Elephas maximus indicus: one gene and its partner. The protein of the gene in region 2 binds, or shares a complex with, the protein of the main gene of each other region. Links are inferred from orthologs where the notes say so. Each region holds a gene or a part of one and is shown on either strand. Other genes may lie near its edges.

What was found.
Region 1: the proteins of TLN1 (region 2) and PIP5K1C are in contact, whole or in part, in a crystal structure (PDB 1Y19), measured with the Mus musculus proteins. The link is inferred for Elephas maximus indicus from reciprocal best matches to the Homo sapiens genes TLN1 and PIP5K1C. Residues at the interface, in NP_035732.2 of Mus musculus: Pro209, Val210, Gln211, Leu212, Leu214; in NP_032870.2 of Mus musculus: Pro646, Leu647, His648, Tyr649, Ser650, Ala651.

Annotation. Positions count from the first base shown.
Region 1 is NC_064821.1:6,755,934-6,763,849, forward strand, and holds the start of PIP5K1C (phosphatidylinositol 4-phosphate 5-kinase type-1 gamma), read right to left. Parts: upstream 3,063-7,916; 5' UTR 2,968-3,062; coding exon 2,874-2,967; intron 1-2,873. UniProt on the Homo sapiens protein: Catalyzes the phosphorylation of phosphatidylinositol 4-phosphate (PtdIns(4)P/PI4P) to form phosphatidylinositol 4,5-bisphosphate (PtdIns(4,5)P2/PIP2), a lipid second messenger that regulates several cellular processes such as signal transduction, vesicle trafficking, actin cytoskeleton dynamics, cell adhesion, and cell motility.
Region 2 is NC_064827.1:44,515,716-44,523,007, forward strand, and holds the start of TLN1 (talin-1), read right to left. Parts: upstream 3,030-7,292; 5' UTR 2,801-3,029; intron 1-2,800. Other genes in the region: CREB3 (cyclic AMP-responsive element-binding protein 3), read left to right, coding at 3,501-3,629, 3,731-3,878, 3,955-4,019, 4,134-4,223, 5,468-5,574, 5,673-5,741, 6,371-6,455, 6,554-6,638 and 1 more. UniProt on the Homo sapiens protein: High molecular weight cytoskeletal protein concentrated at regions of cell-matrix and cell-cell contacts. Involved in connections of major cytoskeletal structures to the plasma membrane.

The DNA.
Region 1 (7,916 bases), on a different chromosome or scaffold from region 2:
AGTAACTTGCAAATCTGCCTGACCTTGGCCCAGCCACTGCACGGCTAGAAATGAATGCACCCACGGTTATAAGTCCATGATCAAAGATGTTTACCGTTGCCTTGCTTGTAACAGCCCTTGTGTGGCACAGTGAACTCGCTTGCTGCTAACTGGAAGGCTGGCAGTTTGAGCCCAGCCAGCGGTGCCTCGGAAGAAAGACCTGGCAATCTACTTCTGAAAAATCCACTGAAAACACTTTGGAGCGCAGTTCTATGATGACACACGTGGGGTTGCCACGACTTGGCATTGACTCGACGGCAAATTTTTTTTTTTTTTTGCTTGTAACAGCTGAGGAATACTCCAGAAACAACCAGAACGTTCCTCAGCGGGAGGCTGGCAGACTTGATAACTGCATGTGTGGAAAGCTAACTAGGATTCTTTGATGACATGTATTAACCACTCACAACCTGCTAAGTCCTGCGTGACTCACCAAAGGCTCCCAGCCACCCTCTGGGCTGGGTGTCATCATCACCCCCATTTTAGAGATGGGCATACTGAGGCTCAGGGGGGCAACAACATCTGCCTTTCAAGGTTAAGTGGCAATTGAGAGGCTTAGCTGGGATTCCAACCCATGCATCGTAATTCCAGAGCTTCCACCGTCTCAACTACACACTGCGCTCTGTCTCTACTCCGAAAAAATAACTGAAAGCGATGTGAGGGGAAAAATCTAGATTACTACAGATTAACAAGCATGTTACGTGATAATTGTTACAGTACAGAGGTTCTCAACTGGGGGTGATTCTGCACCCAGGGGACGCTTGGCAATGCCTGGAGACATTTGCGGTTGTCCCAGCTGGGGGGCGGGGGTGCCACTGGCATGAAGTGGGTGGAGGTCAGGGATGCTGCTCAACACCCTACAGTGCACAGGACGGCCCCACCCTAGGGAATGATCCAACCCCAAACATCAGCAGTGTCGAGGCAGAGAAACCCTGGTAGAGAGGAAACCATTTCGGTAAAGAACAAACGAGGCCATTTATGTGTTTATACGTTTGCATGAGCAACAGAAAATACGTGGACAGTTACAACCCAAACTGCTAACAGGAGAACCTGGTCTGGGGGGAGAGGCAGCTCTTCATTTTAAAAAGAGCGAAATAAGTAATAAACCAGTGGAGTCAGATCTCTGAGGATTTAGGGGAGCAGGGAGGCAAGGCGGAAGGGCCAGCCCCTTCTCCAGGCTCCTCCGAGATGAGACCAGCCAGAGCCTGAGGAGTCAGGGACTTATCTGTCCCCATCAGCTCCCTGAGCCCCTGATAAGATAAATGCTGGCTGCGGCTTTCCTGTGGTCGTGAGTTTTGGGCTATTTTGCCTATGACCACCCAGGCCAGAGGGCGGAAGTCATGAGGCCAGGAAGGAGGGGACCTTGGCCCCACTGGACACTGGCTGCCGGCAAAGAACGAGGGCGAGGCACCTGGCCTGTCGGAATTAACCGGGTCATCTACCAAGCGGTTCCAGATGGCAGCGGGAAGGAGCCAGGGGAACTCTCGCGCGCGTTCTCCCCCTCTCTCTCTCTCCCTCCAGACATTTCTCCTTGCTCCCAGGCACCACACACAGCATCTCCTTGCCTGCCAAGGAAGCTTCGGCAGGCCCGGGGGAGAGGGAGGACGGATGCCCATGTGGGTGTCAAGAGACGCTGCCACAGTCATGAAGGCTGCGGGGGGGGGGGGAAGGCGGAGGATTTTGTGGATTTGAAAACTTCCCACTTGGTAGCTTGTGACCAAGAGGGTACGGTTCCTTTGGGTAGGGGCTCTGCCCTGCACACCACCCCAAGCGCAGGCAGGTGGGGAGACCCCAGGGCAAGGAGGGGCCACCCATCTCCCCACACCTGTTCTGCTGGGGGGCGAGGGAGAGGTGAGAAGAAGGGGAACGGGGACCAGGGAGCCATGACCCCTCACACATGTTCAGGGAGAGGGCTGGGGGGACAGGCCACCAAGGTCTCCTGCCCCCGCATGCTTGCCCAGCCTCGGCATCTCAAAACATCATCCCCTTGAGCTCCTCATTTTATAGGGAAGGAAAACTGAGGCGCAGGAAGGAAGGGAGTGGTCAGTGCACCGGTACCCAGGTCTGGTGTATTCTAGAGAAAGAGCTGAGACAAAGTCAGGAGCTGACCTGGAGGGCCTCAAAGACTCCCACCTCTGCTCCCTGCAGCCCCTTCCCTTCAAGACCAATTAGAGATACCATACCCACTGGGGTGATGCTTGTGGGTGGGAGGCCAGGAAGCTGGCACGCGGAGGGGCGCCCCAGAGGAATGGGTCAAGGCGGGTGTTGACAGCTGGGGCATTGTCAACCCCCTGCCATGGACCCCCTAGAGAGCAGATCCCCTCAGCAGAACGGGGGTACTCAACCATCCCACACTCAGAGCACCCCCTTGACAAAAAGAGTGGGTGGGATGACGCCCCAAGCACACTCAGAGTGAGGCAGTTCACCCACCCAGCTTCCTAAATGGGGCACCCCGACCCTCCCTCCCGGGGTCCCCCAAAAGCGAAGACCATCTTGCCGTATGCTTCCAATCGGGCTGCTGCACCCACAGGCTCCCAGGATGGGGGCCTGCGCCCACGTCCCGCCCCCAAGCCGGTGGTTCTCCACCGCCCCCCACCCCCAGAATGGGCGGCGCCACTGCGCGCCCCCAGGGCAGGACGTTCCAGTCTCCCTGGGCCCCCGGCATGGGCCGCTCCATCCCCCCCGCGAGCGCCCCCGAGTGGAACGTTCCGGCCTCCCCGCCGCAGCGGGTCCGCGCGCCCCTCCGGCGCTCGGGCGGGTCCACTGGGCGGGCGGGGGGGACGGCGGGCGGGCCCATTCGGGGCGAGGGGAGGGACGGCGAGGTCCGGAACCGTTACCTGCCGCCGCGCCGGTCTCCGCGGCCCACGCTGCCTCCGAGGGCACGGCCCCCGCCTCGGCGCTCTCCGCTTCGTCCGGCACCTCCAGTTCCATGGCCGCGCGCGGGCCGGGGCGGGCGGCCAGGGGCTGCGAGCCGAGCTGCGGCCGCCGCCGCTGAACAACAACCGCCGCCGCCGGCTGGAGGGAGCAGGGAGGGGGCCGGGCCGCCGGGGGCGGGGCCGGGGCGGGACCAGGCGCTGCGCCATCGCGCACCCGGGCGCCGCCAATCGGGGCTCGGGCGCGGGGCCTGCGCGCGTCCGCGGAAGCCGGGAGCGCCTCGAGCGCCCCCAGACGCCCAGGGGGTGGAAGGGCACGTCGTTGTCGTCCTTATTTAATATTGTCCCCATCATTCTAGTCACCCAGCGGCTCCGCGGGACAAATGCCTGGCGATCTGCTTCAGTAAAGATTTTTGTGGTTGTGAGGTGCTGTCGAGTCATTTCTCGACTCGTAGAGACCCCATGTGACAGTAGAAGTCCCCGTTGGGTTTTCTTGGGGCAACAGCTAAGCACTCTAACGGTTAAGCTGCTAACCCCAAAGGTTAGTGGTTCAAACCCACCCACTGCTCCGCTGGAGGAAGACCTAGCGATCTCCTTCCTCCCTTAGAGATTAAAAATTACAGCCTAGAAATTGACTAGACGCCACTTAACGACAACAGTCTTTACAGAAGCAGATAGCCCGCCCCGTCTTTCTCCCGAGGAGCCGCTGTGTAGGTTCGAACCACCAACCTTTTGGTTAGCAGCTGGGCGCTTTAACCCCACTGTGCCACCAGGGCTCCTTCCCGCCCCTGGTACGCACTAATGAATTTTGGTCTCTATACGTTTGCTCTGGAAACCCTGGTGGCATGGTGGTTAAGTGCTACGGCTGCTAACCCTAAGGGTCGGCAGTTCGAATCCGCCAGGCGCTCCTTGGAAACTCCATGGGGCAGTTCTACTCTGTCCTATAGGGTCGCTATGAGTCGGAATCGACCCGACGGCACTGGGTTTTTTTTTTTTTTTTAACACATTTGCCTGAGGAGCCCTAGTGGTGCAGTGATTAAGCTCTTGGCTGCTAACTGAGAAGTTAGCAGTTGTATGCCACCAGTTGCTCCAAGGGAGAAAGACATGGCAGTCTGCTTCCTTAAAAATTACAGCCTTGGAAACCCTATGGGGCAGTTCTACCCTGTCCTATCGGGTCACTATGAATGGGAATCAACTCAATGGCATCGGGTTTGGTATATACGTATAGACACGTGTACTCACCACAATTAAATAAATATTTAAAAAATAACGTTTCTGAGCATTTATTAGGCTTGACAATAAAGTCTCTCTCTCCATGAGATATTTCCATAAACTGTTGTCGTGGGCCGTTGAGTTGATTCCAACTCACAGGGGCCCCTGTGACAAAGCAGAACTGCCCCCACAGGGTTTTCTTGGCTGTAATCTTTACAGGAGCAGATTTCCAGGCCTTTTCTTCCTTGAAGCCTCTGGGTGGGTAGGAACCACCAGCCTTTCAGTTAGCAGCCAAGTGCTTAGCCATTTGTGCCCCCGGGGCACCTTTTGTTGTTGTCGTTGTTGTCTTGTGCGGTCAAGTTAATTCCAACTTTCGGCGACCCCCACGTGTCACAGGATAGAGCTGCACTCCTTCACAGGGTTTTCCTTATGGAAGCAGAGCACCGGGCCTTTCTTTCATGAATCCATGGGCGGTTCAAACCGCCAAACTTTCAAGCATCAGCTGAGCACAACCCTTTTGTACCACCCAGGGTCTTTCTTTTTTATAGTATATTCCCGGTACCTAACAGACAACTGGCACCTAGAGGATTTGAAAGTATTACTTTTGAAAACTTATCATTTCAAAATTGATTTGACACTTGTTAATTGGAAAAGATTAACCGACCTTATGGGTGCTATTATCATTCCCGTTTTACACGCGAGAAAACAGGAGCTCAGCCATCTGCTCTGAATCACCCGAAGTGTCACCCCGTAAATCAGTGCTATCTTTGTGCTGGGAACACTTGAGTTAACATTGTTATTGGTACATAATGGTGAGTGTATTCATTACAGGAGTGTTCATTCTGATGTCAGGATTTGGGCATAATAAATGTGGCTATTAGTTGTTGTTGTTAGGTGCTGTCAAGTCTGTTCCGACTCAATAACGACCCCATATACAACAGAATGAAACACTGCCTGGTCCTGTGCCATCCCCGTGATGGGTTTCAGGTCAGGCCGCTGTGATCCATAGGGTTTTCACTGGCTGATTTTCAAAAGTAGATCGCCAAGCCACTCTTACTCGTCCAGCTCAGTCTGGAAGCTCCGCGGAAACCTGTTCAGCATCCTAGCAACAGAGAAGCCTCCACTGACAGACCGGTGGTGGCTGGCGCATGAGGGGCCCCGGCCTGGAATGGAACGTGGGTCGCCTGCATGGAAGACAAGCATTCTGCCACTGAGCCACCACCGCCCCCCGTAGAGTCTGAGAGCCCCGGGATCTGATAATGGCAGAAGGGCTGGGGCTGGGAGCAGCGGTGAGGATAAAAAAAAATGACACAAATTTAACCTCAGGGGTGACTCTGAATCTCTCCTGGTGGGAACCCAATATGCAAACTGAAAAGTCAAGAAGCGGTAAGACAAAAAACTAGCACAGTATTTAAAAAAGAGGGGGTAAATGTCAAAACTATCAGCTAAAACAACGTGGGAGCAAGTTTCCAGGAGAATTCAATGTTGATTTCCTTAATGAAACTTGACAATTATTTGACTCTTGAAAATGCATGTATATTCTGTTTGGGGAAAGGAAAATGTTGGAACTGGATAACGGTGATGGTCTCACGACATGTGACTGTAATTAATGCCACTGAGTTATGCATTTAAAAATGGCTAAAATGGCAAATTTCATGTTAAACGGACTTACCCCAATAAACATTTTTAAAGCAACTTTTAAGTGCGTGCATGTATAACCTTAATAAAAAATGGAAACAAAAAAAAAGAACTTGGAGGTGGCGTCTCCCCACCCTCCCATCCCTCGGGGGTCGTCCCCATTTTGCGGGGTCCAAAGCTGGGGCTGCCCTGCTAGGGCCGTTGTCTGGTTTCTGGCGCCCCCTGGTGGCCCGAGTGGCTGCTGCCATCAGCATCAGATACCGCCTCCAGTAAGAGGGTCCTGGCAGGGTGTTTCCATCTCCCACTCCATATTCCATTAATTTCACAAATATTTATTGAGCTCCTACCGTATACCAGGCACTATTCTAGCCCTTAGGGATATAGCGATGAGCAAGACAAAATGGGATTACATCCTAGAGAGATAACATGCAAGCAAGTCAGGCTCAAGGTAGTTCCAGTGGCTGATAAAATGCTTTAAAAGTCATACAGGCAGCTGTGAAAGAAAAAGATAGGCTCTTTTTTTTTTCATTAGCTAATGGGTTGTTGTTGTTAACTGCCCTCGACTCTTGGTGACTCCGTGCACAACGGAACAAGATGCGACCCTGTCCTGCACCGTCCTATGATCATCTGGGCATAAGACCACGGGGTTTCATTGGCTAATTTTGGAGACTTGATTGCCAGGCCTTTCTTCCTAGCCCATCTTAGTATGGAAGCTCTGCTGTTCAGAGTCCTAGTAATACGCAAGCCTCCACTGACAGATGGGTGGTGGCTACGCATGAAATGCACTGGCTAGGAATTGAACCTGGGACTCCTGCGCGGAAGGTGAGAATTCTACTGCTGGACCACCACTGTCTCATACCCTACCCGTTGCCGTCTTGTCGATACCAACTCATAGAGACCCTATAGGATAGAGTAGAACTGCCCCATAGAGTTTCCAAGCAGTGCCTGGTGGATTTGAACTGCAGACCTTTTGGTTTGCAGCCGTAGCACTTAACCACTACACCACTCATACCACTTTCTAGATGAGAAAACTAAGGACTAGAGAGGTTAAGCGACTTACCCAAGGCCACACAGTTGGGAAGAGGTTGAAGGTTCTCGGCAGAGAAACAGGATTTGCGTTCAGATCTGCAGGGAAGTGGGGAGAGTGGGTCTGGTGGACAGTGGAGCAAAAGCAAAGACTTGGCAGTTCTGATGCAGACAGGACAGGGGCAGGCAGAGCCAGGGATTTCAACCCATCCATCCCTTAACTTATTCAGCAAATGTTTTCTGCACACCTGAATGTGCCAATGCCAGGGGCCCAGCAGTGAATGACAGGGCGGGTCATCCTGGCCTCCGGGCACGCAGGGGTTAAGGGCAGCTGCTCTCACGTAAAAGCACCTTACGACAGAGCCACACACCTGCAGCCGCAAGGGCAGGCCGGCCTCTCACACACTTACCACCGGCCAGCGCACGCCGCCACTGCACTAGTCCCAGCTGGCACGGGGCCTAGAGCAGCCACCAGGGAGAAGAAGTTGGACAAACAGGTGGGGAGGCCAGCACCCCAGCCTCAGATCCCCTCCCCACCCCCATGCCAGGTAGGCACCTGGGCCCTGGATCCTGACACCTGCCCAGAAGCCACCCAGCTCCCTGGAAGGTAAGCCCCCTCACTGCCCTACCCACCACCTTGCTGGCCTGGGCTGGGCTGGGATTTGTCCACGGCAGTGTCCTGGGACCCCTATCACCTCCCCCCAACTCCCCAGAAAGCAGAAAACTGACCCTCCAGTATGGGCGTCTGACATGGTTTCCAGGGGATTGGCTGGCTGGCGGCTCCTGCCCTGGCTGCGTGCCCAGGGCACCACTTGAAAGGGTCATTGTTGCCCAGGTGGTGCCAGGAAGGCCCAAGGGGCACAGGTTGGAGCCCCTGAGTGGAGGAGGGGAGGGGGCGTCAGCTCCCACCGAGACCCAGGTTTGCCTCCTGTGGCCTGACGCGGTAGCAGATGGGGCAGGCTGGCACCTGGCTGGCCCTGAGCCTCTGGAAACTTCTCAAGCAGGTCCCAAGCTTTCGGACAGTTGCACCCCCTCCCCACTGCTGGCACCTCCAGAAGCCGGGGGGAGGAGGGGGCCCAGGCTTGGGGGGAGATTATCTGGGCCGAGTCTCCCAACTCAGAAATGCAGTTT
Region 2 (7,292 bases):
AAGTCACACAGCTAACAAGTTGTAGAGCCAGGATCCGAACTCAGGTTTCTCTGACTCCAAGGCCCAAGCTCTCTCCACTACGCCAGCCGGAGATGAGTCAAGGGTAGCATTCCAGGCAGAGAATAGCATAAGCAAAGGTGGAGAAGCAGGAAATCGCAGAGGAGCATTCAGGGAAGTGAGTAGGCAGGCTGGTTGAAGCACAGGGTACCTGCAAGGGAGCAGTGGTGGGGAAGTTAGGGTTCGGATAGAAAGGCAAGGGAGGACTAGAGAGGAGTATGAGGTATTTTACCTACTAGAGGGCAGCAAGTGGCCAAGGGAGGCTTTTGAGCAGAGAAGGAACATGACCAGAACTGGATTTTAGAATATAACTCTGACAGTTATCTTGGAGATTGGTTAGAAAAATACCATATTAGCACAAGTGAGAGATATGGAAGCCAGAGTTAGAAGGTGGAGAGGAAGATGTCACTTAGAAAAAAGGTTAAGAAGTAGAACTGACAGGACTTGACAAGTCTGTCCTGTCAACCCTCAGAGACCAGGGCCTAAAGTCAGGTGGGGGTCCCATAGCTTCCTGTCATCAGTAGCCACTTAGTTTCTGGGACAGCTTGAGTTTAGGTAAAGGGGAGAGGAATCAGGTTGAGCTGGGAATGTGAGGATGAGGCTGCCAGGAAAAGGGGACAGGTATGTGGTTAGTAGCCAGGTAGGAGCAGGTGGGGCGTGGTCAGTGACTACATCAGGCTAGAGATGGTGGAATGATGGTGGCAGGAAAGATGAATATATGATAAGTCACTGGATCAGCACAGGGGAAGTAGAGGAATGAATATATGGGCAGTGGCTAAGTCAGACTCAGGGAAAAGATGGAGTGAGGTCAGAGGCCAGGTCAGGCTACAGGGGATTGAAAAGAGATGGGGCTGTCGTCAGTGGCTAAATTAGGTGGGGTGTGGGTACGGTGAGAGGACATTGGCAATGGCTAAGTAAAGCTGGAGCTGGGGGCGGGATGGGATGCAGCCAATGGCTGGGTCAGGCTGGGTAGGGGCTAGGGCTGTGGTCAGTGGCTGGGTCAGGCTGGGAGCGAAATGGGGGTGTGGTCAGTGGCCTGGCTGGGCGTGGGATCAGCAAGACCCAGTTTCCTCTTTGGGTCTCGTTTCCTCTTTTCTGTTTGGGGAGTGGGGGAAGGGGATCTTCAATTGGACCAAGAAATTAAAGGAGGCTTAGAATTGGAAGATGGCACAGGGACTGGGGGTATGTGGCAGTTGTGTTGGGTTGGGGAGGCTGCTCAGATGAGCAGATGGTATGCAGATGGATGAGTGGGTGAAAAAGGTAGAAGGGTGTTTTAACATGATGGGAAAGCTCAGGTTTGGATAAGGGTAAATTAAGGTAGGATGTGTGAATCAAGTAGGGAAGGCCTGGCAGAACTGAGGTTGGGAATAGGTGGTAAGCAGATGAAGAATATGGAGAGTTAAAGGCAAGGGAAGTACTTTGTAAGGGGGTATGCAGGAAGGGTGTGGAATGCAGCGCCAGGGATGAGAGCTGGAGAGGAGGGCTTAATATCTAGGGAATGAGGGAGCAGTAGGAGTTAACTTTCGGTAGATTCGGCCACCCTCTTCTCCCATGACAAGAGCATTTCCTTGGTCTGCTTCCCCCTTAGTCATCAGTCTCTTCTCCCCTCGGTAGTTCTCCACTTATGACTAGACATTGTGCATCTCCTGGGCCCCTGTCCCTTTCTTATCTCTCACCTTGTAAACAACACAGTCCAGGAAACCCCAATCCTCCATTTGTGCTGGCCACAGAAAGAAACTTGGATTTAGAGAGTAGAATAGAGAAGCTGGATTCCTAGTTGCCTGCACTTCCAGCCCAGATTGTCATCATTCTGGGTTAAAGAAGTCCCCGTGACTACCTAGGAATAAGACTTTCCCCCAAAGCAAGAGCATCTACCTAGTGACAGCTTCTTAAATTTCATCTACCTGAGATCAACTACCCTGACCTCAATCATAACCCCTAAAGCTGCCCCCTAATTCCTAACATTAACTCTGACCCTAACCAGTTTCCTGATTGCCAATACTGGCTTTGACAGTCGTCTCTTTCCTAGCAGAGAACCATATTCAATGCCTGATCCTAAATGCTGACCTGACTTTACCGTTAACATCAAACTCCCTGACCTTAACTCTAAATGCTGAGTCTTAAAACTAATATTCACTTGTATTTTTATTCCTAACCCACCCCATCATTATGTATCCCTAATATTGACCTTGCCAACTTCTGTAATCCCTAAAATGGGCGTCTAACCTAATTCCTGTTGTTGACCTTTAACCCGACCCTGAACTCTAACTTTGATTTAGGCTGTCCATCCCAGAAAACAAAATAATGGCCTCAATCTAAACTTTACATATAAAATAGGCTGAATTTACACTAATAACTCGAAGTTTCGACCCTGGCTTTATAACTCTTAAAGCTAACGTTAAATCCACCACCCAATCTCATCTAATCCCAAACTTAGCAAAGCGTTCCTACTCACATATCCACTATCAGCTAACCTCAAAACCTATTACCGCCCTGCGCCTCACTGTGGTCACTCCTCACCTTCCCTAAAGCCCACCGCAGGCAAAGGACTGCGCCTAGGAAAAGCCTGGCTCCCGCAAAACGGCCTACTGAGCTCCGAGACCAAGCCGAGATATATTGGACCCTGACCTCTCCAAAAGGACCCGAAACAGACGCAGGACTGCCAGCGGCCCCGCCCGCCCGCCTCCCGGGCCGGGCCTTGCGGCCCCACCCCGGGGCTCTAGCTCGGCCCGGTCCGGCCTACCTGAGCTGCCCGGCTCTGTGCCCCGCCCGCCGGCCCGCTAGCCCGGTCGTTCTCCCGGTCGCTCTGGGGCTCTGGCCTCGCCCTCCCGCCGACAGGCTCTCTCTCGGCCACTTCCGTCCCCGGAACGTCCCCCACCCGCGGGCGGCGCCCTGGGCCCGCGCTCTATGGTTGCCGGGACTGCAGGAAGCTGCTCTGGCCCCAGCTCTCGATGCTCGACAGCCGGCCGAAGACTGGCAGCCCCTCCCCGGCAGGAAGCAAGGGCGCGCACAATCCAGAGGAAACGCCCGAACTGTGCTCGAGTTCCCTTTTAGTCTGGAATCCTTCCTTTTTTCGCTCGAGGCGAAGGCGGAGCCGGATCACCCGAATTCCCGCCCTCAGGGTGTGCGGAGGCTGACGGGACGTCCCCACTATTTGCATAGCTCCTGGGACGTGGCGCAGCACCCAGGCCACTTCCGAGTTGGAGGGAACTCCATGTCCCAGAGTGCCATGGTGGCGAGATGTATTACTTCCGTTGTGTTGGAAGCGGCAGAGACTGGATCTGGGAGGCGGGTCCGCGTGAGAGTGACAGCTAAAGGCAAAGTGCGGCGAAGAGGGACCCGAGACCAACAAACAACTGGGCTGTGGTTCGTGCCTGAAATTCGGGGGTTGGAGCTGGGTGGCGGGGTGAATCCCCGGGTTTCTGTCCATTCTTGTCTGTAGTATGGAGCTGGCACTGGGTCCCAACGACCAAGACCTGCTGGGTTTTCTGCTAGAGGAAAGCGGAGATTTGGGGGTGGCGCCGGAGGAGGCCCTGGAGGCTCCGCTGGACTGGGAGCTGCCGCTCTCCGAGGTGAGTGGAAGTTCTGAGTAGGTGAGGCACGGGGCTGGGGGCGTCCATGAGGCATGGGATGGTGGTGATAGGTCAAAGCCTGTTTATTGAACCATGTGCAGGTACTGAGTGATTGGGATGTGGAGGATTTCCTGAGTTCCCTGCTAAGTCCCCCAGCATCGTTGAAGGCTCTCAGCTCCTTCAATCCCTGTCCTGTCAGTCATGATCACAACTACTCTCTCCCACAGGAACATGTCTCCGTAGATACAGGTGAGTCTGAAATATTTGAGGTTTATGGGGAGGAAAGTGCTCATGGGTCTGGCTATTCATACTTTTTCTTTTGCAGACAGTGGGAGCTGTGGGAAGGTGGCCCAGATGACTCCCCTGCAGGTGAAGGAGCCTGCAGAGCAGGTACTTGACTAACAGGAGGATTATTCCTACATTGCGCAAATGGGGGCAGGATTCCCCATTCCTCTGACAACCCCTTGCAACTCTGCTTCTCCCTCCCACCCTCAATAACCCCAGGAGATTGAGGAACTGATACTGACAGAGGAGGAGAAGAGGCTATTGGAGAAGGAGGGGCTTTCGCTGCCTGGGACACTTCCTCTTACTAAGGTAAGTCTCCCATTGGCAGAGCAAAAGCTGGAGGGAGGTTTTATGAGTCTCGAGTAAGCTAATCTTGTTAATTTTCTATCAGTAACTTGAAAAAGGACCAACCAAGAAAGCAAACCCACTGTTGTCGAGTCAATCTGACTCATAGCTATCCTATAAGACAGAGTAGAACTACCCCATAGAATTTCCAAGGAGTGCCTGGTGGATTCGAACCGCTGACCTTTTGGTTAGCAGCCATAGCACTTAATCACTACACCACCAGAGTTTCCCAAAAAAGGACAGAGGTGGGAAATTTAGCAAATTTGTTGGTAATGGGAAGCTGGGGCATATAGGTAATATGATGGATGCAAAATGCTGGTTTTGTGGGGTCTGAAACATACAATTTCAGTATTCTCATTAAGAAAAAAAAATCATAATTATCAGCACAATATTACTATAGAGCCTTGTGCAAGTGAGGGTCTCTGACACTTAGATTTCATTGACTTCGTAGTAATCCACTTCTGGCTGAATTATAGAATTAAGCTTTAGATCATTCAGTAAGGTTGGAGTAACAGTATAACAAAAATAAATATAAATTCCTGCGTTTATATTTATTGAGTGACTTCATAGGCCCGGTATTGTGCAACTGTGATGAAATCAATGTTCACTGACAGAATGGTTAAGGGAATTTAAATATAAATTTCTTGCAAGTGCAGTGAGTCAGCAGGTCAGCAGGAAGATACGGCTACTGAGTGAATGGGACTTGGAGGCTGCATCAGTAGAGGTGTTGCCTTCAGAAGTGGAGTGACTATCCTGTTCTCTTTTGTATTTGCCAGGGCACATCTTAGTATTGAGTTTTGAACCCAGATATTTAACAGATATTAACAGGATGGAATCCATCCTGAGGAGAGTAGATAAAATGAGATAAAATTTTTGTCCAGGTTTTTTTTTTTTTAAACTCTGAAGAAATGTCAAATGTCTTAAAATAACTAAGGAAGGTTTGTTCAACACGGCTTCAAAGATTAGATACTAGGTCAGTCCAATGGATAGAAATTATAAGGAGGCAGATGTGGGCTTGGGAGATTTAAAAAAAATATAAAATTGTTAAAAGTGGTCCGGGCTTATTAACAGAGATGTTAACACCTGGCTCCCAGCGGCGTTCTGCACAGAAGCCGAGTGCATACTGGTCAGGTGATTGAACTCATTTGCCTTCCAACTCTTCGGTCCAGTGTTCCTCTGATGATGCCCCTTCCCCCATCTTCTTCCAGAAGGAGGAACAAGCCCTCAAACGAGTACGGAGGAAGATTCGAAACAAAAAGTCTGCTCAAGAGAGTCGTAGGAAGAAGAAGGTGTATGTGGGAGGTTTAGAGAGCAGGTATGAAAGGAAGAAGGGCTCAAGGGTGGGGGGAACAGAGGTAGTTGGAAATGATTTTAAAGGGAAGACAGAGGTCATATCCCTGTTATTCCCCCCAGGATCTTGAAATACACAGCCCAGAATCTGGAGTTACAGAACAAGGTGCAGCTCTTGGAGGAAGAGAATCTGTAAGCAACCCTCCAACATTAGTCCTTTCCCATCACCCCCATTTAATGCTGCCCCACTCTTTCCCCTGTTCCACACTTGACTTCTAACTGGGCAGCTCCTATATGCAATCTGGTACTTAGCCTTCAATGTGGGTCCAGGAAGCTCAAAGTACTGGCAGAATTCACAAATAACTATAACCAAGAAAGAGAAAGGAAGGAGGAAGAAACACTTCAGTGGGTAGATGGCATTTGATAGTAGATAGGATTCTAGGGGTGAAGTAAACATTTCAAGCAGAGTGAACACACCACCATCTGGTTTGGCTGGAACTCTGACACAGGTGAGTTGGGACCAGAAGGTAGAGGTTATGGAATGCCTGGTGAGGACTATGGGCATCATTGATCAGGCAGAACTACTGAAGGTATTTGCCAAAGGAATTTGTCAGGGTGGAGAGATTATTTTTTTTGTTGTTTGTTTTTAATGGGGAGCTTTAAGCATTTTATCTGCAGAAAAGTGGTCACTGGCAAAAACAAAGTAAGAGATGATCCAGGGCACAGATGGAGGGGGTGGCCTTAACAGGAGAGTTTCATTGTATCTCAGTTACCAGGCCAGGGTGTGCTCACTCTCTCTTCTCTCCCTTCTCTCCCTCTAGGTCCCTTCTGGATCAGTTGAGGAAACTCCAAGCCATGGTGATTCAGATATCAAACAAAACCAGCAGCAGCAGCACCTGTGTCCTGGTGAGGCTGGTGATGGAAGGAGACATCTTTTTCTCAGGTAGCGGGGGCAGGGTGCAATCCAGAGCCCCTTTCTTTATCTCCTTTTCTCTGTGCTCCAGGTCCTACTCTTCTCCTTCTGCCTCCTCCTCATACCTGCGATGTACTCCTCTGACATAAGGGGGAGCCTGCCAGCAGAGCATGGAGGTAAGAGGCTTGAGGCTACCATCAAGGAAGGCATGGGTTGGGGGAAGAGGCCCTGGCCTGCCCCTGAAAATCTTCTTTGTCCCCTCAGTGTTGTCCCGCCAGCTTCGATCCCTCCCCAGTGAGGACCCTCACCAACTGGAGCTCCCTGCCCTGCAGTCAGAGGTACCAAAGGACAGCACAAACCAGTTGCTGGACAGCTCAGACCATTTCCTCCAGGTCCCTGGCAATTCTTGCTGCTTTTTGAACCACGTGCCTCAGGATCCTGGTGCAGAGCCTCCCCTGAAGTGGACCCTCTCTGACCCCGTCTCAATGCACTCCTGCCTAAGTCCCATCCTTCCCCTGCAGACCAATCTCACAAGAAAGGGTAGATGGCTCTCTACCCACAGCCCCTCGTCTGTCATCTTGCAGGTCAGATACTCAGGCTAGATGGGAGGATGAGGAGGGCCTCAGCAAGAGGCTGGGAGCCCCAGTCTGTGTCCAAATACAAAGGAATGAGAAAGGGCTACCTTCAGCCCTGCCAGGAAGACTGAGGCTCAAACACACCAGACTTACTGGCTTTCTGGGTCTTTTATTAGTACCTGTGTTGTCTCTATCATTCTGTGAATGGGCCTGGTGGAATCAACTGAACCTCATCGTACATTTCATGCAGTGAAG